Drosophila melanogaster: one gene and its partners. The protein of the gene in region 3 purifies or fractionates together with the protein of the main gene of each other region. This does not show direct contact. Each region holds a gene or a part of one and is shown on either strand. Other genes may lie near its edges. The genes, in order: CG4707, Tim10, al and Hsp60A.

Region 1 (5,384 bases), on a different chromosome or scaffold from region 3:
CGGCCTGGCAGGAGCACACGAGTCCCAGGAACGCCAAGCAACTGGCGGAGTACGCCAAGGCGATGAAGCAACTGGCGGCCATATGGGAGACCAACGATGGGAAGGTGGAGCTGCAGGCACGCAGCCGCATCAAGTGGGCCATCGACTACATCACCAAGTACTTCTTTACCGAGGGCATATATTTGCAGAAGCGCCAGCGGGAGCAGCGACTCCTGGAATCCTACAGAGCCGAGGGAAAACTGGGCGAGGTGCAGTGCAGGCTGATGGAGGAGCCGCCGGACAGGCTGCACGTCCTGGATGTGGGCAGCTGCTTCAATCCCTTTTCCAGTGCTCCGCACTTGGAGGTAACCGCCCTGGACTTGTGTCCCGCCACCGAAGATGTGCTGCAGGCGGATTTCCTCAAAGTGGAGGTGGTACCCGGAATACGAGAACCTGAGCTGGAGGAGGGCAGCGTAAGAAGGCTACCAGCAAGCCACTACGAGTGCGTCATTTTCAGTTTGCTACTGGAATACATGCCCAGCGCCGAGCAGAGACTACAGTGCTGCCTTCAGGCCTACGACCTGCTGCTGCCCGAGGGCATCCTTGTGCTCATCACACCGGACTCCCAACATGTTGGCAAAAACGCCCACCTCATGAAAAACTGGCGCTACTCCCTGGCCAGGATTGGACTGCTACGGGTACGCTTCGAGAAGTTGCCGCACATATCGTGCATGGTGTTCCGCAAGGCCATCAGCCGGGAGCTCTCACAGCACTGGGCGAGCATTCACCGGGAGGAGGGGATGTGCGAGGAAATTCGGATACCGCAGGACGATAGCTAGATAAGATTCAGCCCCCATAAATCGATGTAAATATGTCCACGTCTACTTATTTATGGCTTAACTTATCTGTGTTAAGTGCGAGTTAATAATAATGGTTGACGATTTATCTACTATCTATGGATGTCGTAAATGGACAAATGCTATTGCTTCTGTTCCGACTGTGGGAACAGCGCGCCGCTGGTCTGGCGCTTCTTCATCGCTGTGGTGGCGCCCTGCGAAATCTTCATGATGTTCGGCGGGAGCGGTTTCTTGCGATCCGCCTCCCACTCGGCTCGGTGGAGCCGCTGACGGTGCTTGTACATGTTGGCGTTGGAAAAGAACGTCATGGGGCAGTTAGGACAGGTGTACAGCACCTCTCCGGTGTGCGTTGATGTGTGCTCCTGTAAATTAGGTGTCGAATACTTAGATTTCTCTGTAAGTGAGCCCCACACTTACCCTCAGATCCTGTGGACGCTTAAATGCCTTTTCGCACATCCCGCACTTGAACTTTCGCTCACAGAGGTGGTTGTGGTAGATGTGGCGCTTCAGGGCTCGGGAATTGGTGGATGTCTTGTTGCAGATATGACAGCGGTGCTCGTCGCCCGGCGGCTCGTGTACCGTTTTCATGTGCTGCTTTAGTCCGGACAAGTGGCGCAGCCAGGTGCCGCAGATCTCGCACTGCACGGGATCGGGTTTTGGACGCGGTTTCTCGGAATGTTCAAGCTCGTGATGCTTTTTGAGATTCGTTTGTGAACGTAGCGTCTTGCCACACTTATCGCAGATGATGGCCGCTTCCGGGTCGTGCATGTAACGCAAGTGCTCTTTCAGTTTGCGTTCCGTAGGAATCCTGAAAGCATTAAGGGATTACTTGGGGGGTTGCTCATATGCCTCATACCTGATGGACAATTACTTCTTGTTGCACTCCGGACAAGAGTATTTGAACTCGGATTTCGGGACATGCTTGGAAACGTCATGATACTCCATGGCCGCCTTGGTTGTGAAGCTCTTGGGGCACTTCTCGCACTGGTAGATCCGCTTCTCCTTCGGCTCCGCCTTGACCTCCGGGTTTGTGTGTGTCTGCTCGTGGACCTCCAGGGCGCGGGAGTCCTGGAATACCCGCCCGCACTGAGAGCACATAAAGTGATCTGGGTTCTTGTGGACCAAGACGTGCTCGGCCAAAGCCTTGCGCAGGTGGAACTTTCTCCCGCAGCATTCGATGTAGCCAGATTCGATGTTGTGGGAAACGCGTTGATGGCGTCGCATGTCCGCAAAGTTCTGCACCAGCAGATTGCACAGAGAGCACGGAAACTTTTTGAAGAACTGCAGGATAATCTCATCGTACTCGTCTTGCTGGAGCTTCCTCCGTTCAATCTCCTCCCGACTCAGACGAACGGGTGGAACCAGTGGCTTTTCCCTTTTTCGGTACTTCTTAGGTTTCACCACAACCCGCTTGGGAATCTCAGCGTAACGTTCCTCAGGCTCTATGTCCGGCAGGCTGTGGTCGGAATCCTCTCCACTGCTCTCACTGGAGGAACTGGAGCTGTCGTCAGTGCCCAAGACAGCCTCGGGAGCCACGAACTCCATGTCATTGTTATCCCTGGCATTTTCTTCGCCATCTTCGGAGTCCAGTTCCTTCTTTGGGGAAGGAGCCGATTCCGGCTTAGCTTTGGGTGGCCGTCCTCTTCTTGCGCTCCTTCGTAGCTGGCGTCCCTTGTTCGCTTCGCTGTTCTTTGCGGGTCCAACTGAACTTCTCTTTGAATCCGAGTTTAAAAAATCGGCCAGAGGTGCATCCGAGTCACTATCCACTGGCAGCTCGTTTTTAATGCGCCGCTTCGAGTGTGGTGAGCCTTCGTTTGGGACACCCAACCGTTTCGGAGCTGTTCTGATTTCCGTTTTAACTGGGTCTTCCAAGAGTTCCACCTTGGGCAGGGGTTCTAGTTCGTTCACCTCCACCTTGACCTCACTGGGCGCAAAAAAGGCCTCCGCCAACGCGTCCAACTCCACAGAATATAGCGGATTAATGATGGCCTCCTCTGTCTGACCGCAAAATTCGATGGGTTCGCTTTTGGAATCGCTGCTCCGCTGCCGGTGCAGGCAGGAGACGCGCTGGTGAAACTCCTCGAAGCTGCTAACGCAGTTCCAGCACTCCCGACAGACCTCAGCATCACCGCCAGCCGTAAGAACCTGTGGATGGCGAAGAGTTCGGTTTGGTTTATCCAAAACTTGCGATTATGGCGCAGAGCTTACCTCGGAGAACGCGAAGTGCTTGTGGATGGTCGCCCTAATGTTCAGACGGACGCCTTCCTCGGATTGTAGGCCGTAGCCAGCATTGCTACTGTCCAGGCAGAGCACACAGACAGTCATGACGAAACCGGATGCACTGGCTGAGTCCTAATCCTGCTTCATTTCCACACAAAGTTTTTGTTTACGATTTTGCAAAAATTTGTTTTCCAAAGCAAAGCAGGGTTGACAGGGGCGTGCATGAAGAGCTGGTGAGCCGATAGTATCGAGACAAGCAGAATAATCATTAGTGAAACTGAAAAACAATTTGATGTGCTGATCTTTGTATTGTATTAAAGCAATTTCAATTTTGGGCGAATTATATAATTTAATATATTAATGCAAGAAATTTATATTAACTGTACAATGTAGTTACACCCTAACGCCTTTTAGATTGCCCCCTCGCACAGTGGAAAGGGCCTCGTGCTTGAAAAAAATACCAAAACATAACGCACATTGCGGTATCAGCTGTTTCCCATAGCTTTGTTGAGTCGATAAAGATCAGAGTTTTAACCATTTAATGCATTATTCAGAAGCGATTGCCCCGAATGAGCGAAACCAATAAAAACAAGGATCCCACGGGGACCAGTCTGAAGAAGCAACCTTGGCACAAGCGCGGATCGGCCTCTGCAATGGCCTCAAATATCTTGTTGCAGCTGGCGGCCGAGGATCCCCAAAGGGACGCTTATCCTAAGGACACGGTGGTAAGTTGCCTGTTTTATAAATGAAATCCATTTTTGCGACAATATCAAGCCCGCGTCGGCGGCACGCGCAGTTTCTGTTTTCCCGCGAGTGGTAACCAAGTGGTGGTAGGGGCTTCTTTGGGCAGTGCGCAATCGCCAGCGCCCTGCACCCCACATTCCCATCGAATAGTGAAAAGTTCCAGAAAGACCAGCTCCAGCCAACTGAATCACTGCTGCCGAAATCAGCAAGTCCGAATCCAAGAGGCCAAAGTATCACCTACAACCCACCAAGTATGGAGAAGATCTGGAAGAAGGTGTGCGAGCACCACGATGTGCCCGAGCAGGTGGCCAACGAGTGGTTCGCCCGCATTCAGCAGCACCTGAGCTCCGAGGATCCCGCTCGCGCCTACCACAATTGGGAGGAGATGATGCGGCGCAAGGAGCCGCACTTGGCGGGCGTGGCCAATCCCAACATTGTGCTGGCCGCCTTCTTCCAGTACTACCACTTCGATGGTAACCGCAGCTGTGCGGAGAAGAACTGCGAGGTCTTTGAGGAGTTTTGCAATGATGCCGTCATCGAGGATGTGAGTAGGCGTGCGGTGTAACTAAACCTCTATATTCGGCGTGCTCTACCTTAAACAGGACCATGCAAAAAGCCTGGTATGTAATTTGCTGGGGCGCAAGACCCCGGAGAACCAGTTGACCTGGTGCCATGACGACGAGGCCAACTTGCTGCAGGACGTAGACCTGGTGGTCCTAGCGTGAGTATTTGTGCAATCATTGTCCGTGTATTTCAAAACCCATTTACACTACTAAAGTGCTTCGCCGGAGGAGTACAAGCACTATACAACTCTCCTTCGCTCGGAGTACGCCAATCTCGACGATGCCACCTACAAGGCCATGCGCATCAAGGTGCTGGAGACCCTGCTGATGATTCCCTCCATCTACGCCACTGGAGACTACCACGACAAGTACGAAGAGCTAGCCCGCGCCAACATACGCAACGAGATCAGCGAGCTGAAGAAGCAGTAAATCAGAGTTGGAGGACCAGGATGTAACGGGGCTGCTTTGTTTACTGCTGTTGAGTTGTGTACTTACTGGCCGTTTTACCTCGGTTGACTGCAAGGCACTCGTGTATTGGTTGAGCAACCTTCTCTGCCGAACATCTACTTAATTTTACTCCTAAGTGAAGTGTAATCAAAATCATTTTCCTAGTTAGTGTGTACGCCTAGATATATACGTAAGCCCTGTAAACTCCAGCTCAGAATAAAATTGATGTAAATGATGTAACAGAAATGCAGTTTCACTCAAAGCACTTAAAGAATCAATGTATTTGAAATCGCAGTAAGTAGGAAAAGTAACCGTAGAAAAACTTTTCCAAAACTATGATCAAGTCACAAATCAATTAATTACATTCCATTTTTCCATTTATAGATCGCAGCACAAGAAACAGGGGCCTCCAGCTCAAACACCAAAATGCCCAAACAAGCCGTTAAGCACAAGGGCTTCAAGAAGATCCGAGGCCCTAAGCCAAAGGTAAGCAATCGAAATATAAATATATTTGTATTATAGTATGCGATACTCCACAGAACGGCCAGAAAAGACTGAAGCGCAATGCGACTCA
Region 2 (4,210 bases), on a different chromosome or scaffold from region 3:
AGAAGGCAGGCAAAAGAGAGTGCAGCAAATAGAGATTTTTGTGCATATATAGACTCCGAGAATCGTTATATAACATGCACTCAAAACAAACGAAAAAACGCGCAAATCGGGCGACAGTTCGAAACTACAAAAGACAAGGCCTGAAAACTAAGCTACTAGCGCCAAAAACAGAGTAGGTTTTCCAAAGAGTGTGAAATAGTTTGGAACCCAAGACAACCAAATTCAAGTGCTGCAGAAGTAAACACTTAATAAGGGCGACATGGAGAAGGTTTGTCAGTTTTTCCGCAACAACTACGTGCTGGCCAATTGCGAGGATGCCATATACAAAAAGGCATTCTCCCTGAATCTGTCCCACTACCAAATCTCCGACGTTCCGGGCATCATAGAGAAGTGCGAGACGCTGATGAAGCTGTTCCTCAACCAAAACAAGCTAACAAAGGTGGCACCTGGTGCACAAGATAGCCAATGAAATAATAGACTCACAATCCCTTGACTCACAGATTCCATCCTCCATTGGTAGTTTGATGCGACTTCAGGTCCTCACGTTGGACTACAATAAACTGGACGAATTCCCGCTCTGCATCTGTCGTTTGGTCCGGCTGAAGTTTCTCAACATCAGCTGCAATAACATTAGTAGTTTGCCACCCGAACTGGGATACCTCACTCAGCTGGAGACGTTCTGGTGCAATAATACTGGGCTCCTGGAGCTGCCCAACGAAATTCGTAACTGTGAACACCTCGAGACGCTGGGCGTACGGGGAAATCCCTTGAAGAAGTTGCCCGATGCCATAGGCGCTCTGTCCTCCCTGCGTTGGCTAACAGCCGAGGGCTGCGAACTCAGCGAAGTGCCACTGACCATGGCGTTGCTGGGAAATTTGGTGCATCTGAATCTTAAGGGGAATCGATTGCGACGGCTGCCCAGGATGCTGATGGCCATGCAGAAGCTGCGGTTTGCTTTTCTCAACGAAAATTGTATTGACGAGATGCCCACGCGGTCACAACTGGAGGAGTTGCGGACTCTTCACATGCTCAACCTGTCCAAGAATCCCATCAGCCTGCACCGCGATCTACAGCTAATGGCTTTGGTGAAGCTCCAAATTAACCTTTGTGTTTCTTTTTGTTGAATTTCTCTGAATTTTACAGCGCCAGACGAACCTTTATGTGGAGCTGCCGTCAGATCCCGCCAATATTTGCGATGGTCTCGCCAGTCGAGCTAGCCTCAACGCCCAGGAACAGCAGGAGGATCAGGCGCGAGGAGCAGGACAGGATCTAGACTCCTCCGACTGGGCGAACAGCGTGCGGACCAGCGAACTGGACACAACGGACGAGAGTGCGCTGGAGAACAACATCGAGGATCTGAGTGTCATGCTGCCGGAAATGTCGCGCTTTGTCACCACCTTTTGAATGCATTAATCTGTGTCAACGAGGTCTGATATTATGTAGCACACATAAATCTGTGGTTTATTCTCTACAACGGGGTGTTTTGTACATGTACCTCTAACAATCGTAGCGCTTCAAAAATGCACATTGGTTAAGCGGAAATGTGGGTTAATGGGTGCCAGGTTAACTAGACATCTTCTTCATCAGCTCCTCGTCCTGCATGGACATGGCCGTCAGCTTCTTGCCGATCTTCTCGTGAATGTCCAGATATTTGGCCACACAGCGATCGATGCACACCATCTCGCCTTTGCCTGTAGGGTGCGGAAAGCATTAAAATTACAAGTGTAGAATTGTGGTACAAGTTTCAAGATTTCTATTTAAATTTCATCAATCGAATCAAAGAGAAACCTGAAGTGATTGTCATAGAAAGAGCTGCGAACTAGATACAGCATTCTATATGGCTATGGTACTCACCCAACTCCGACTCGGAGTAGCGCGGCGGAATGCACTTTTTGTGGCAAGCGTTCGTCATGCGGTTATATAAATCGGACATCATTTCGATCTCCATTTCCTGCATCAGCTGCAGCTTGGCCTGGTCTGCGGTGCTGATCTGGGGCAATGCCATTGTGTGGGTGTGGGTGTGTTACTGATGGGTTTTAGGTACTGGATGCTGCCGCTTAGTAATCGAATCGCCTGTCCGATGCTGCGCTTGAGTCGTAATCCCCTTGGTTTGCCTTCCTCATGCGCTCACGCACTCGCATGCTCTCGTAACGCCGGTTCTCAACGGATCTCTTTGACAGCACAAATGCGTAGACGCCACCCACGGTCAAAACAGTCCTGTTTCGGGATTTTCAAACACCATGTAGTAAAGCTAAGTGTGTGTAACTAAAAACGATTTTTCTACAAACCAACAGACAGCGATTCGCCCTGCGTTGCCCAACGACATAGCCTGCTACGAAAAAACGACACACTAACGCGTTCCGTTGGAAGGTGTGCGGGATTTTTTATCACTGGCACGTGTGACAGCTGTCACATAGGGTTATTCCTTTCAATCGAAGTCACTGTATTGGGAAACTGTGATTTGAGTTGGTTCGGAATCAGAGTGAATCTGTATTGCTAGGTTGATTTGTTTTCTGGAACTGTACTTATTTATCACTTAATCAGCCAAATTACTTTATATGTTTGTCAATGGCTTTAATATAATTTAAAAATTGCAAATTTTAAATGCTACATGTTAATTATCAGTATCAGTGATAAATATGTTAGCAACATTGTGAGTATTTATTGCTTTAGCATATTTAAGATTTTGAATTTCATACTTGAAACCTTATTCATTTTTTTATCTTATAAGATTCTCAATATTTAAGTTCATATAAGATTTGAAAGTGACCTTTGTAACTCCGAATGTTTTTCAACTTGTGGTTCCCAACATTCTCTGGTCACACTGACTTGCTGTTTACACAATTATTTCGTAATTTTAAGTCATATTTTATCAATGAATTAAGATAAGGAGCGAGCAGAGCAACTCACAAATGACTTCGCAGATCTACAGCCAGAAGAAGTTCGTGCCCACGCCGCCCGAGAAGGGTTCCTTTCCCCTGGACCACGAAGGTCTCTGCAAGAAGCAATTCCTCCTCTACGCCAGTTGTCTGCGCAAGAACGCCCAGGATACGAGCCAGTGCCGCCAGGACGCCCAGAACTACCTGGCCTGTCGCATGGACAACAATCTTATGGAGAAAACCGAGTGGTCCAAGTTGGGCTTTCACGACCAGAGTACCAAGACCGATCAAAAAGAACCGGAGGTGCAGAAGCAATAGCCGGCATTGTGAGCCATGAAACCCGAACGTAATGTGATGATAGCGGCCACCGGAAGTGTGGCCACCATTAAGTTAGCCCAGTTAATCCGAGAGCTCTCCGACGAGCGCCTACCCTTTAAGTTCCACCTGAAAGTACTTATTACCGAAGCAGCCAAACACTTCTTTGAACTGGAGCAGATTCCCGAAAATGGTAGGTTGTCTAAATCTTCGGGTATTTGTTAACTTTAACTAACAAACTATTGCATATATTGTAGTACCCATTTACCACAATCGCGACGAGTGGATCACCTGGAACAAGCGAGGAGATCCTGTACTCCACATAGATCTAGGCAAGTGGGCGGATTTGTTGGTAATAGCCCCACTCAGCGCAAACTCTCTGTCCAAAATGGCCACCGTAAGTTTGGGTCGACATTTTACCCAGAACATTATTTCAGTATCTTTTTTATGACAGGGGATTTGCGATAATATCGTCATGTGTGTGGTGCGGGCCTGGGACCTTGAGAAGCCGCTGCTCTTTGCACCTGCGATGAATACCCGTATGTACGACCATCCAATAACTCGGGAGCAGATCGACAAGCTGACCAGTTGGGGCTACAAGGAGATACCCTGCATATCCAAGACTCTGATGTGCGGTGATACTGGCAACGGCGCCATGGCGGAGGTACCCACAATTGTGGAAGCGGTGTTATCCGCCTTTCAGCCGATTAAATAGTTATGCACACAAAGTTTATATCGCAGAATATTTTGTTACAATAGTTAGACAAATAATATGGAATTGGCTATGAAATCTTAGAGATCCACCACCTTCATGTCCTCCAGGGAATTGTTTGCCGATTGGCTGATCAGCGCCTTCTCCGAGTCCGTGAGGTTGATAAACTTGTGCTTAGACTTCAGCTCTTGCTGTATGGAAGATAGCAAATCTGGCGAACATCGTCCTGTCTTTAAGCCCTTTTGATCTTGCGTCTCGGCAGCGCCTGTCACCTCCATCTTGGGCTCAACAATGGTCTCCATCT
Region 3 (5,761 bases):
AGCTCCTCTCCGCAGAGACGCGACTTCGGCTGGGCCTTCAGTTGGCTCCTTCATGTTTGGTGTCGTTTTTATGGTTGCACTTTTGTGTTTTAGCTCCTTCGGCTCCCGATCTTCCCGGTGCAATCCTCGATCCTCGATTCTCGGTGTCTGGGGACTGTTGGGCTGGCATATTTCATTAAAAGCCGGGCCAGAGGGACGGCATCAGGTAGAACAGCAAACAGAAGCTCTTTTCTGGCATTTCGTTAATGCGCCTCCGTCTCGATCCTCCACTCTCCAGACTTTATTGATCAGACTCCAGTTTCCAGCCAGTCCCCAGTCTGGCCGGTATCTGGGCTGCTTATTTATGGGTTTACATTAGGCTAAACCACTTTAGTCACACTTTGATGATCGGCATTGTAATTTCGCCTCCGGTTCTTCGATAATGGCAAGCATTTTGGGTGGCTTAACTTTTGGCCCCGAGCGAAAGCTCAATGATCGCCCCCGATACCAGTCCCTTGGTGGTCCCCTGGAGAAGTTGACGGATTGGCCAGCGACGTTCCAAGCTTGGTCGTTTACTTTTGGTTCGATAAGACCAATTATTATTTTCGACCAGCTCTTGTAAGTCACCCAGAAATGTTTTTAACTAATATCACAAGCAGCTGAGCTGGGCCGAGTCGAGTCAATTCCGTAGTGTTTATCTCATTTAAGCTGCACCTGAGCCCTCCATTCACCTTCCAGTTGTTGGGTTGTTTGTTTCTTGGCGCCGTCTTTTGGACCAGGTGCGATAAGGCAGCATTCTTGTTGTTGGCCAGGCGCCGTCATCATCGTCTGTTTCTGTACCTCTTGTTCTGGGGTGTACGTTATGGACCTCTAATGCACACACTCCCAATTATAATTAGTTTATTCATATCCTGTGTCGAAGTTGCTGCCTCATTTGTTGTTCTTTTCCACAATCTTAATTCAATTTACTGCCTATCAGACGAAGTTGCAACGAAGGGTCTAGTACCCTTCCCCTACGCCTGGTGAATGAAGTTGGTCAACTAAGTTGTTGATCTACTTATCCTATATAATCCCTAATATGTCTACAATTTAAGGTATACATTAAAGTTTTAGGTCTACAGGCAGAACACGTTCCCATTTGAGACTATCTATTAGCTAAATACAATAAAAATTGTATGTACTTGAACTTTTGGGTAAAAATGTATTGACACATGGATTTCGAGCTCTCCAAGGGCATTCGAGATTCGCTCCCAGGTAGCAAAAATTACCCCGTGTCCACCCTAATGGATCAGAGTGCCGGGACGGTAGTCCAAAGGTAGACGCAAGTTCAAATTGTGACTCAGAGCCAGGATCAGCAACTCAAGACCCACACAGAAGACCAAGAAGTTGTTGATGGTGAATGGCGATGCTGTAGCTACAAGCTTAGCCCGTGTTGGTGATGTTGATGCGGGGCCAATTACTCATAAAAAGCATGTTAAGAACAGCAGTCGCAGTGAGGAGCTATAAATTGGGACCGGAGGGGATCGGGGATCGGTGATCGGTGTTCGGGGATCGGGGATCTGGGGATTGGACAACTGTTGCCCGACGCCATCTCCATCTTCGACTGTTCCGCCCTGCCCTTTGTCATTGTCTTGTGTGGTTTGATAAGCGAATCCGAGGCAGACGGTGGGCAATTTGTGGACGACGACGTTAATTTCTCATGTTTGCATGTTCCATTTAGCGAGGGGCAGGGGACAAGAATTAATGAAGCACATCTCAAAGGGCCCTGGCGCCATCTTCCCGCTGGAGAAGATTTCTCTCGGGGGGTGTGTTGCCATCAACGATCAACAATCAACCGACATCCCTTCAAAAGACAGCGCCCCAAATTGGGAGCTGTCGAGCAATCGAACAACAGCGAATCAAATCAAATCAGAGTTCGTGTTCAGATAGCTGCCAAAAATTCGGGTGTATATCTACAAGATACAGTATCTAAGGTATCTGGCAACAAGTTTTAATTGTATGTTGCCGTAATTGAATTGAACTACATTTCGGTGGAGAACATATTTTAATTTTACGCTGTACGGGACAATCTTATCGAATCTTTTCGGTATTATCTATTGGGAATGATGCTACCTCATAGATACAAATACACTGCGACCAACTTGCGTCACAAATTCGTTTAAACTTGTGCTGACAAGTCACATGAGTTATAAGTATTAATTAAATCAGTTGGCCAAGTGCCCGATTATCACCAGGAAAGAGGGTCCCGGTTTTCCTTTGCCTTATCAGGACCCACATATCTGTCTATATTTGTGTTATTTTCACTATATATTCGGGGCCCTCGTCCGCGTCACGAAGCTAAGTGGTCAGTGGCTTTTGACAAGATTATCGGCGGGTGATAGGTGTGGCTGGTTAATTTCATTTATTCTGTAGGTACACGGGACAAGCATAAGACTATGCCCCCAACTTTCGACCAAAACCACCTCTAGAAGGGAAAAACATCAGCTAGACAAAACGTGATTTATTGGCGCTGACTGCACTGCTGACAATTTGTACTCTTTAATGGTGTTTAATTAAAACCAATCAGCGATAAACTTATCGAACTATCAGCTAAGGCAAAGGCGAAATCTTTCGACCCTCAAAATTGAGTTAATAAAATTCTATTCTACAGCGATGATACGATTTGGCTTGATATTTGTCTGATTTGATATGTCCAGGTGGGAAATTAATCAAATTTAATGATATTTATGTCTCGTCATACGTTTTATTTTTCCCTCTTCACATTGATTGGGATGATTAGACAGGTGAATTATGAAATTCATTTATGGCTTATACTTGTAGTATTTGTCTATCATGCTGAGAAGTAGGTTATTCGCAAGGTGTGATAATAAGTTTATGTGATTTGGGGATCGGAAGTGGCGGAAAAGGGTCAAGATTAGTTTAGGGCTAAAACAAAATTTATATAAATTGCTTGATTAAGAAAATCCCTATCTTTGATATGATATAAGGCAATGACTACGGTTGTGATAAAAAATTATGAGTTACAGTAACTAGGATTCCCTGTTTAATGCACGCTCTCGATATAACAAATCCTATTCTGTCCAAAGAATGTTTCATATATTTTTGATAAAATGTCTGAGACTAACCTTCCTTCTCCTCCTTAATCGCCAGATATTGTACGGATGGTCTTGATAATGTTTGGCCTTCTGAATCTCTCTCTTCCTATTTAACCGGGCTAATAAGCCCTGTAGCTCTCACCAACAGTAACTTTTGCCGACGGTCTTTTGTCCACTTCTTCCAACAACCAGATACCGAGTACCAAGCGTTCACTTTGATCGCGATACACCTTTGATGGGTATAACTTTGTACTACGCGCAGGATACCGACACTTCCGCAATCGTACGCACTTTAACCCGGAAACAACAATGTATCCCCAGCTCGACTATTCGAATCGGAATCGGAACCGAACGCGACGAGATGACCGGGCTGTTCCAGAGCCGGCAGCAAACTACACGGTGAGCAGTTGGCGCGCAGGTGAAAACTCTGGTGGGTCTGAAACAACAACCGGTTGGAGTTGTTGTTTTCCAATGTTGCGAGAGTGGTTTTCTGGCCTCCCAGTGTTTTTAGTGTTTCGTAGTGCCGCAGAGCGAGAGGGAGCGATGCGATCGGAGCATGTCGATCGATCGTCGCAGGTGTCGCAGGTGAGGCGGCAGGTGGCCGGGAGGCGGACTCCGCCTCTTTCTGGCGGTTCGGCCTATGGGAAAGCAGCATTCGACGGAGCGAAATAATGGCGGAGCTGCTCTCTACCGCTCTCTGTCGCTCCGCATGGCCCTCTCTCTCGCGCCTCTTCGATTGGGCGTAATTGAATAAGCCCCGCACAAAGTGCAATAAATTTGATTAGCAAAATGGAAATTTATTTGCCCCCCAGCTCAACGCGTTTTCCTCTGGTTGCCATAGATGCATTTGCCAGTTGTTGCGGCTCATAAATTAAATAATTTAGCCAAGACATATGGGAAAAAGAGTTGCGTGTATTGGGGTGGGGACTTGGAACCGGCCATATAGACCGTTTTGGTAGTGTTAAGGGCCTCGTTAATGACTTTGTTGGCTTTATTGGATGATTGTCGGACTGTAGACTGTTTTGCTTACCCATCGGAGTGGGGGTGTCATGCGGGGAAGGGCAATAACTTGAGAAAAAGGTCAATGAGCCAGCTATGTAGATGACTCAAGTTAAATTTGAATGAAGGATGTTTGGAAAAGCCGTTGATAGTTTTTAAATAAGTGAATATTGATTTAGATTGATACAACGTGAAATACAAGCCATAGGCTTGTACATCACATCATTTTTATCACATCCATCTTCGTAATTTAATGTAATCCAAGGAAAAATGTTTTCCGTCCATGATGAAAAACTGAACTCAGCCCAGCTCTTGCCATTTCCGAGCAGACCTAACAGATTCCATTCCTTGATAACCACTTCATTAGGCTTTATATAAGCGGGCCTTATACATCCACAGATCCATTCCAGCGGCATTTTGCACTGGAAGCGTCCCCCTCCTTCGACCATCATTCGCTGCCCAATTTGCTTGTATCGCAAGGCAATAAATAAAGTGTTAATGGCAATTGCATACAAATAGTTTGGTGTTGCCATTATATGGCCATATTATCCCATTGTCGGGCCTTAACAAGAAGTAAACAATGCGACGCTCTCCGAGTTCCATTGCAGATCGGAATAGGGATTGGAGTCGGAGTTGGATCGAGTCCGCTGCACTGCTGCCAATTTCACGCTTCATTTACGGGCGAAATGCAAACAAAAGACCAGCGACCATCGACCGTCGACGGACGAGGAGTGACCATTTGTCCGACGAGTTCAATGGACAGCAAACTCGGACCGGGATCGGGAATATCTGGTACCGAGCACGGTATCTCTCGTCCCCATGTGGCCGTGTCAATCAGCCCGTCGCGCAAGGTGTGCACTTATTATACCCAGTGTTCGGGAAGAGCAAGGGCTTGATGTATTTACCCTTGAATAAGATGGTATCCTCACAATTGAACTTCATTTAATTTATTTTAATCGGAATCCAAATTAGAGAATTGTCAGGTCTTTATATGTACAGATTCAGTCCGCAGCATATATGCTTATAAGAGGATATTTGATGGTTTATTCGAATAGGGAAATTTCGTAATTTAGCGGTGAAATGGATCTAGTACTAGGTATTCCTCTGTCTCAATACATCCGTGTGGACATTCTTCCCCGTTCGGACTCAATTCGGGTCCACTCTAAGCAGGCTCAGATCGCTCCACAGCGCGAAAGAGACGGAGGCTTAAAGTGAAAGAGTCGCGCATGCGCGCACGTCCTAATGTAATTATTATCTCAACAATTGAATTTCCGGTCCCGACTTCGACTCCGCGCTGTGGCTGTGGGTCTGCATCCACTCCTGCACATGGGACAGATGTCGCGCAAAACGCTACAAATGTGCACTTAATTGCGCAATTAAATAATTTTATTTCTGCTGCGCGTTTTCCTTTTTCTTCTTTTCCCCCATAAGTCGTTCGCCGTTTTTCTCCTGGCTGATAGCAAACAAATTGCAGCCAAGTGGCCAAGTCAGCTCGCCCGTTCCCTATCTGCTGTCCGAGGTGTCTTATTCATTATGACCATTATGCGGCTTAGATAGAAGAATTTACCAGTTGCCATTTGCCAGCTGGGAGAATGAAATAGATTTGAGGGGCTTGCCATTTGGTTAGACCTTCCAAAGATGGTAGCCTTTAATCAACTAGCGGTGTCTGCTTGGTGTTTGCTTAATTA
Region 4 (7,169 bases), on a different chromosome or scaffold from region 3:
CCACCGCCACCAGCACAACCACCACTGCCCGCAGCTGCACCGGAAGCGCAAAGAGAGAGGAGCAAGGTGCGGCAGCACGGCAATCAGCAGCAGACACTGCCGCCTGCACCGCATCCGCGGAGTAGCTCTGTCGCCACCCCCAGCAGCACCACCAATAACAACAACAACAGCAGCAGCAGCAATAAGAATCTGAAGGCCAAGCGAAAATCGCAGACCAGCCGCCAGTCGCCGGCGCGCAGAAAGCGGCCAGCCAGCGAGAAGCAGCTGTACTACTGGAGCAGCTCCAGCGACGATGAGTTCGGACGCCTGGACGACGAGACGGAGGCCGCTGACGGTGAATCCCGCGGCGCTGGAGCTGGCAGCGAGCAGCGGGATGGCGAACGAACGGAACTGGAGCCGGAGGAGGCGTCACCGTCGCCGGGTAAACACTTCGAGGAGAACGAGACGTACCAGAAGCACGGCTGGATCGTGGGCGATTCGCACAAGAAGCTCGTGAAGCTGCTGGCCATCGCCAAGGGCAGCAAAAAGGTGGACAACTGCGGTGTCAAGCGGCGCACGCCAAAGCGCAAGTGCTAGGAGTGGGTGGAGCAGCGTCACCAGACGTAGCAACAGCTGGCGTAGGAGCACAGCACAGTCTCCTCCCGCCAGACAAGTCATAGCCATAGGCCTCGAGGGGCGGAGTCGGCGCGGGCAGCCGACGACCCATCGCCGCCATCGATCACATACGTACTGCCATTGTGTCATCGTTAATCGTTAACGCCGGCGCCAGGAGGGGATCAGGATCAGGATCAGGATCTGGTTCGGGATCGGGATCAGCTGGAGTAGGAGCGGCAGCGGGAGCACCCACTTGGCAGAGGCCACCTCCTGGCCCCGCACCCATTAACCGTATGCGGAGTATATGCAACATATTTTTCTTTCTTTTAAACATCTAAGCGTTACATTATTTAGGTTTTTTTTATTAAATGTATTTATAATTAATAAACAAAAGAAACAAAAAAGCGAAAGAGCAACAAATATAAATTTGAGCACAACAATTCAAAGCGGACGACCGATCTTCTCATTTGGGATGCCAGTAACCCAGTAGCGAACCGCCAGAGATACAAGCCGTCCAGGTTTTTCCTCAATTTAACTTCGGATTTATTTAATATATTTTACAACTAGCGGTATCTTTACATATATAACATGTAAAAAAAAATAGAGTTAAGGAATAGTTAAAAAAACGTGGAGCACAATGGAGGCGACGGCGTGTGGCGGAGCGAACGCTGCAGTCTCGACGAGCTCACACCCAGCCGGTTGTGTTGGATTTGTGTGCTGATGTTGCGCTGCTCTTGCCAAAGGATAAATGCGAAGCAAAACAAAGTTCCATCAAGGATTAGAATGCGTGTCAAATGGTGGGTGATGTGTCTCCGGCTGGATGCACCGATGTAAGAGATATTGGTGGGTCTCGCTCCGACTGCTGATGACTGATAACTGATGAGCTGCTTTCGCCGCCGACCACGCGACGTCATCGTTCCACATCGTGACTTAAACAGTATGCTGGTTTCGGTTCTCATCACATCTCCCTCCCCCTCTCCGGCTGTCGACCAGTCAGTGGCAGTCGCTTACATCATGCCACCCATGCCGCCCATGCCTCCCATGCCGCCCATACCACCCATGCCGGGCATGGCAGGAGCGCCATCCTCCTTGGGGATCTCGGTGACGACAGCCTCGGCGGTGGTCAGCAGTGAGGCCACACCGGAGGCGTCTGTGATGGCGGTGCGCACCACCTTGGTGGGATCGATGATGCCCTTCTCGATCAGGTTGCCGTATTCGCCCTTCAGCGCATCGTAGCCGTAGTCACCGGCCTGATTCTCCACCTTGGCCACCACCATGGCGCCATCAACGCCGGCGTTCTTGGCAATCGTCATGCATGGCATGCGCAGGGCACGACGCACAATCTCCACGCCGAGTTTCTGTTATGAGATTTCATAGACATTAATACACGAATAACAGAAAAGAGAGATAGATAATCGTACCTGATCCTCGTTGGTGGTCTCGACACCCTCGAGCTTCTCAATGCAACGCAGCAGAGCGGTGCCGCCTCCGGGAACGATTCCCTCTTCGACGGCAGCACGGGTGGCGTTCAGGGCATCATGGACGCGATCCTTCTTCTCGTTGACCTCCACCTCGCTGGAGCCGCCAACGCGCAGCAGGGCAACGCCGGAGGCCAAGCGGGCCAGACGCTCCTGCAGCTTCTCCTTCTCGTACTCGGAGGTGGTGTCCTCGATCTGGTCCTTGATCTGATTGGCGCGACGGAGCACATCGTCCTTCTTGCCCTTGCCCTTCAGCAGCAGGGTGTCGTCCTTGGTGATCACCACCTCGCCGACCTGGCCCAAATCGCTAACCTTGACGTCCTCCAGCTTGACGAGATCAGCATCATCGCCGAAGACAATGCCGCCGGAGGCGATGGCCATATCGGTGAGGGTGCTCTTGCGGTTGTCGCCGAAGCCGGGTGCCTTGACGGCAGCCACCTGAAGGCCGATCTTGAGGCGGTTCACCACCAGGGTGCTCAGGGCCTCACCATCGATATCCTCGGCAATGATGACCAGCGGCTTGCGCTGCGCATTGGCCAGCTCCAGAGCGGGAATGATGCTCTGCACCGATGAGATCTTCTTCTCGGACAGCAGGAGGAGGGCATCTTGGAACTCCACCTTGGCGCCCTTCGAGGAGTTGATGAAGTACGGCGAGATGTAGCCGCGATCGAACTTCATGCCCTCGATAACCTCCAACTCATCGGTGAGGGTCTTGCCATCCTTGACGGTGATAACGCCATCGCGTCCCACCTTCTTCATGGCCTCGCTGATGAGATTGCCGATGGCCTGATCACCGTTGGCCGAGATGGTGGCCACCTGGGCGATCTCCTCGGGCGTGCTAACGGGGCGCGACATGGTCTTAAGGTTGTCCTTGACGGTCTCAACGGCCAGCATGACACCGCGACGAATCTCGACGGGATTGGCGCCCTTGGAGATCTTCTCGAAGCCCTCCTTGGCAATGGCGCGAGCCAGAACGGTGGCCGTGGTGGTGCCATCACCGGCCTCCTCGTTGGTATTGTTGGCCACATCCTGGACCAGCTTGGCACCGATGTTCTGGAACTTGTCCTTCAGCTCAATGGACTTGGCCACAGTGACGCCGTCCTTGGTGATTTTGGGCGAGCCCCACGACTGCTCAATGATCACATTGCGACCCTTGGGGCCCATGGTCACTGCCACAGCATCGGCCAGCACATCGACGCCCTGGAGCATCATGGCGCGCACCTCGGGTCCGAAACGCACATCCTTGGCATAGCCGCGCATGGCCAACTGGCGGCTAATGGAGGAGCGAGCAAGCGAAACTGGCAAACGGAACATCTGTGGAAGAGCAGAGAGGATTGGTATGATGAGAACTGGCTGGTAGCAAGAGATGAATCAAAGCACGTGTTCCGCCTTGGGCAGAACTAAGATGCGGTTTCTTTGAGTTGTTTACCCCGGAGTTTCTTAGTTGATAAGCTTCCAGCGGGTCAAAGGTCAAAAATCTTCGTTCTTGAATGTGAAATTGGGAATACAACGCGTGAGCACTGTTTAACACACGCAGTTCGCTTGACTTTTCCGATAATCAGAGCTGTAAACTTCTCAGATTACTGACAGCAAAAGCCAATGGAATGTTATTTACACGGATACTTATGGAAATTACATAAACGCACAATGCTCCAAAAATTGGGAATTTTCAAAGAGTTATAAAAAAAATAATATACATTTTTTTAATAAAGCTCAATGCAAAAAACTCATTATCAACATAATCATTGAGCTAATTTATGGCATATAACACGTGGATTAGATAAATACAGATGTACATACATCTAGTTTCGGTTTATAAAAATTACAATTTTCGAAAATTACATAAACTAATTAATATCTCTGTGAGAATTGCATAAGCAGAAAGAATGTTTTTTTTTTAGGTTGTTATTAATGTGAATACAATAAAATAAAATATAAGACGAATTTAAACAGTAATCACCTATTGTTTCTATCTAATTTAATGATGAAATAGTTCTAAAAACACAGGCAACATGAGATATTTACATGGATTCTGCTCATCCTTATAAACATCATTATTTTGAATTGAAAAATTAAACCAAATCAATGAGTTTAGGTATTACTGATAGTATTATGTAAACTAATTCGTTGCAGCAGCGAGGCTCCACTGTACCGGCCAGGCCCCCTCATTCCAGTGCCCACCCCCACCCCCCGGGGAACGAACAACATCTTGGCACCGAGCATTCCAGAAGAAACGATTTATGTAACCAGCACTTGGGCAAAAGACTAATATGTAGCTCCCAAAATGGGAGGGAATGTTATTCAATGAATCAAAGATTTCCGCAAACGAGAGTGGAAAGAAAGAAAGGAAGCAGGGCAAGCAGTAGCAGCACATGCAATGCCGTCTGATAAATGTGAAATTGCCGGCAAGCAGTGGAAAACATGTGCAACTGAGTTTCCACCAGCTTTCCAATGTGCGCGCCCGTATGCGTGTTTGTGTGTTTTGAGGTGGATTTAATAAATTCTTGTTGGAATGTAATCATTTACTGCACAATGCAGACATCGTTTACTTTTCCAGTTATCAATGAACAGAACATTCTGGAAACACGATTTGCCGGCTATCGGCCAGATTGTTCGCTCTTATATAATCGCCAATGGGACACACACACTTGCACACAAACTTGAAATGCAATTGGGCAAATGGGAATGGCTCTGGAAATTGTTTAAAAGTTTAGAACTTACTGTGAATTAAACTGGTACTGCGAATTATTGACAAGACAGTTAAGCGAACGCTTCCGATTCTATTTGATGTGAAACAACAAGCCCACTTCACCACAGTTTACTCGCTTCGAAATGTGCGCACAGGCGGTCCGAACTTCCTAACCTTAATGTGTATCGGTGTGACCATTCGTTGGCCATCGAAAATAGCCGGCGCTTATCGATTGCTTGCGTCGGGCAATCGAATATTATCGGCAGCCATATGGGGGACTCGCATTCAAGTAATATTTATAATAAATTGAGCTTTCGCCGATAAATAAGTTTTCTGGTTTCCATAGAAAAGAAAACAATTTAATATATTAATGTATTAACAGCAAATATGCAAATCCAACGCAACTATTAATAATCCAATTATATAATAATGAATAACTATCGCAGCAAGCTTTATACGTTATGCTAGAGATGTTAGATGCGGAAAGCGATAGTTTCGCGCCTAAGTTTTTTTTTTTCAAAATGAAACCATACATATGTATATTTTATTATATAGGTTTACTACATTTTTCGACCATACTATAAAGTCTAAGTAGTTACAAACTGAATCCTTTGCTCGATTGCAGTCGTAATTGGCCCGGTGGAGTTCATGTAGTCCATTAAGGCGTCCAAGTCGAAAGGACCAAACCTGGCAAAAAAAGCTTTTTAATACTTTATTCAAAATCAACATTGTTTAACATGCTTACTCTGGATCTTCTGCATTTTCGCTGATTACGCTAAATCCGTTCTTCCCATTCGCCAGGTACTCCATGACGACCACGCGGTACTTGTGCTCCAAATCGAGTGGAATATACCTGGGCACCAGGCACTTGGAGCATCTTACTCGCACACTGAATACTCGCTGATCGGCGTTCAAATCGTAACGGATACGGAGACCGGAAACCTGGAGGAATCGGGAGGAACGCGGCGTGGCCGAACTGGCATTCATGGGCGCCACCACATGCTCCAGCAGCTCCACAATGTGCTTACCACGCAGACTGAGGGTCACCAGTCTATTCTGCCATGGGCACATGGCAAACAATTGCTTGTAGGTGATGTCTGTAGTGATATACTTAGTCTTATTGTTCGATTAAGGTATACATGTTGTTTTCAGGACTCACTGCCAGCTGGAATAGGCACTCGAAAAGTTCCCGTTGATGTCAAGGCAATGGTCACGTTACTCCAACTCTCTTCAGACGACGATGAAGCATCCTTGACAAACTGAAGATTCTCATTGGACTAGGTCAGTTGCAAGTGGGTTGAAGCCACCACTACTTACCGCATGAAGCATAGCATCGGTGAAGAAGTTACCCAGATTGCATTCCCCACTGCTGCACTGACTCTGCTGGAGATTCACGCGACTCTGGCCCACTGTCCGCTCGGCAATGGGTTTCATCTCGAGTTGCCAAGGCACCATGGCTTGTAGAACGATATCATCTTTGGGAGATTTTAAATGGTATATGATTATATTATGCAACCATTGCCTCCAAACATATTCCCCAGCATCAATAATCTTCCAGAGAAAAGATATGTTTGTGTACTTTCCCTGATAAATTTATTGTGGAAAATGCAATTATTGCACATTATGGATATAATACATATGTATGTATAATCAGTTGAGCACTGTGATGCGTCCCTCGAGGCCCTGGTAAATGGGATTGATGTGATTGCTGTACGAGATTAGGGCATCCAAGTCCGTGACTCCCCACCTGAAATCAGTAAATAATCAAATGGTATTACAACATGGGACACAAGATGAGCTGCCTGTATGTACGTACTGGAGGTCAGTGCCCTCGGCGAGCATGGTGTAGCCATCGCCACCAGCCTGCAGGAAGTTGGGCGATGTGAGGCGATAGAGCTTGTCGGATACCAGAGGCTCGTACTTGGGCACCTCGCAGTCCGCACAACGAATCGTTACGGATATGACACGCGATCCCACCGGCTTCGTGTAGTCGTACTTCGCCCGGATGCCCGAGAACTGCAGATTGATGTACGATCCGGTCACCCCGTTCTCGAGGTCCACTTTGCTCAGGGCCCACTCCATGGCCTCCACTATCTTGCTGCCCGGCAGATTGTAGGAAACCAGCGTGTTCTCGAAGGGCGACATGCTGACTATATGGGCGTACGTAAGATCTGAGGGATACATTCAATTGAAGATTTTTAGAGGAGTTTTTGCTATAACGCGGTCAAAAACGATCACACAACCAAGAGAATGACTTTTTTGTGCAGCCTATGATCCACATAAACGATCCCGAAATTCGTATATTTATTTCTGGAAAATTTTTTTTTTCGAATTTTCCGATTTTTATAATCTTAATTTTTTTGCGAAAAATGGACAAAAATTTACATTTTAAACTGTGAATGCCATTC

The links.
Region 1: the proteins of al (region 3) and CG4707 purify together in Drosophila melanogaster (affinity purification with mass spectrometry, with the first as the bait; one large-scale study listed by BioGRID). This does not show direct contact.
Region 2: the proteins of al (region 3) and Tim10 purify together in Drosophila melanogaster (affinity purification with mass spectrometry, with the first as the bait; one large-scale study listed by BioGRID). This does not show direct contact.
Region 4: the proteins of al (region 3) and Hsp60A purify together in Drosophila melanogaster (affinity purification with mass spectrometry, with the first as the bait; one large-scale study listed by BioGRID). This does not show direct contact.

What each region holds. Positions count from the first base shown.
Region 1 is NT_033778.4:24,603,741-24,609,124, forward strand, and holds CG4707 (uncharacterized protein), read right to left. Parts: upstream 3,284-5,384; 5' UTR 3,162-3,283; coding exon 3,045-3,161; intron 2,982-3,044; coding exon 1,708-2,981; intron 1,645-1,707; coding exon 1,254-1,644; intron 1,199-1,253; coding exon 959-1,198; 3' UTR 855-958; downstream 1-854. Other genes in the region: Samtor (S-adenosylmethionine sensor upstream of TORC1), read left to right, coding at 1-818; CG42360 (uncharacterized protein), read left to right, coding at 3,626-3,781, 5,195-5,296, 5,350-5,384; CG42361 (uncharacterized protein), read left to right, coding at 4,054-4,344, 4,403-4,521, 4,579-4,792.
Region 2 is NT_033778.4:21,688,784-21,692,993, forward strand, and holds Tim10 (translocase of inner membrane 10), read right to left. Parts: upstream 2,357-4,210; 5' UTR 2,327-2,356; coding exon of another isoform or gene 2,289-2,326; 5' UTR 2,218-2,288; coding exon of another isoform or gene 2,058-2,217; 5' UTR 2,006-2,057; coding exon 1,855-2,005; intron 1,692-1,854; coding exon 1,564-1,691; 3' UTR 1,432-1,563; downstream 1-1,431. Other genes in the region: CG10307 (uncharacterized protein), read left to right, coding at 260-439, 501-1,085, 1,144-1,404; CG42497 (uncharacterized protein), read right to left, coding at 2,058-2,217, 2,289-2,326; CG42496 (uncharacterized protein), read left to right, coding at 2,913-3,197; Ppcdc (phosphopantothenoylcysteine decarboxylase), read left to right, coding at 3,213-3,387, 3,452-3,591, 3,649-3,909; CngB (cyclic nucleotide-gated ion channel subunit B), read right to left, coding at 3,987-4,210. UniProt on the Drosophila melanogaster protein: Mitochondrial intermembrane chaperone that participates in the import and insertion of multi-pass transmembrane proteins into the mitochondrial inner membrane.
Region 3 is NT_033779.5:375,825-381,585, reverse strand, and holds the start of al (aristaless), read right to left. Parts: upstream 3,475-5,761; 5' UTR 3,105-3,474; intron 1-3,104. UniProt on the Drosophila melanogaster protein: Involved in the morphogenesis of proximal and distal pattern elements in a subset of appendages. Also has a role in early imaginal disk development.
Region 4 is NC_004354.4:11,106,258-11,113,426, reverse strand, and holds Hsp60A (heat shock protein 60A), read right to left. Parts: upstream 4,946-7,169; 5' UTR 4,794-4,945; intron 3,625-4,793; exon of another isoform or gene 3,502-3,624; intron 3,387-3,501; coding exon 2,016-3,386; intron 1,953-2,015; coding exon 1,602-1,952; 3' UTR 1,119-1,601; downstream 1-1,118. Other genes in the region: CG11122 (uncharacterized protein), read left to right, coding at 1-576; CG42249 (uncharacterized protein), read right to left, coding at 5,349-5,448, 5,507-5,858, 5,921-6,020, 6,079-6,236. UniProt on the Drosophila melanogaster protein: Prevents misfolding and promotes the refolding and proper assembly of unfolded polypeptides generated under stress conditions.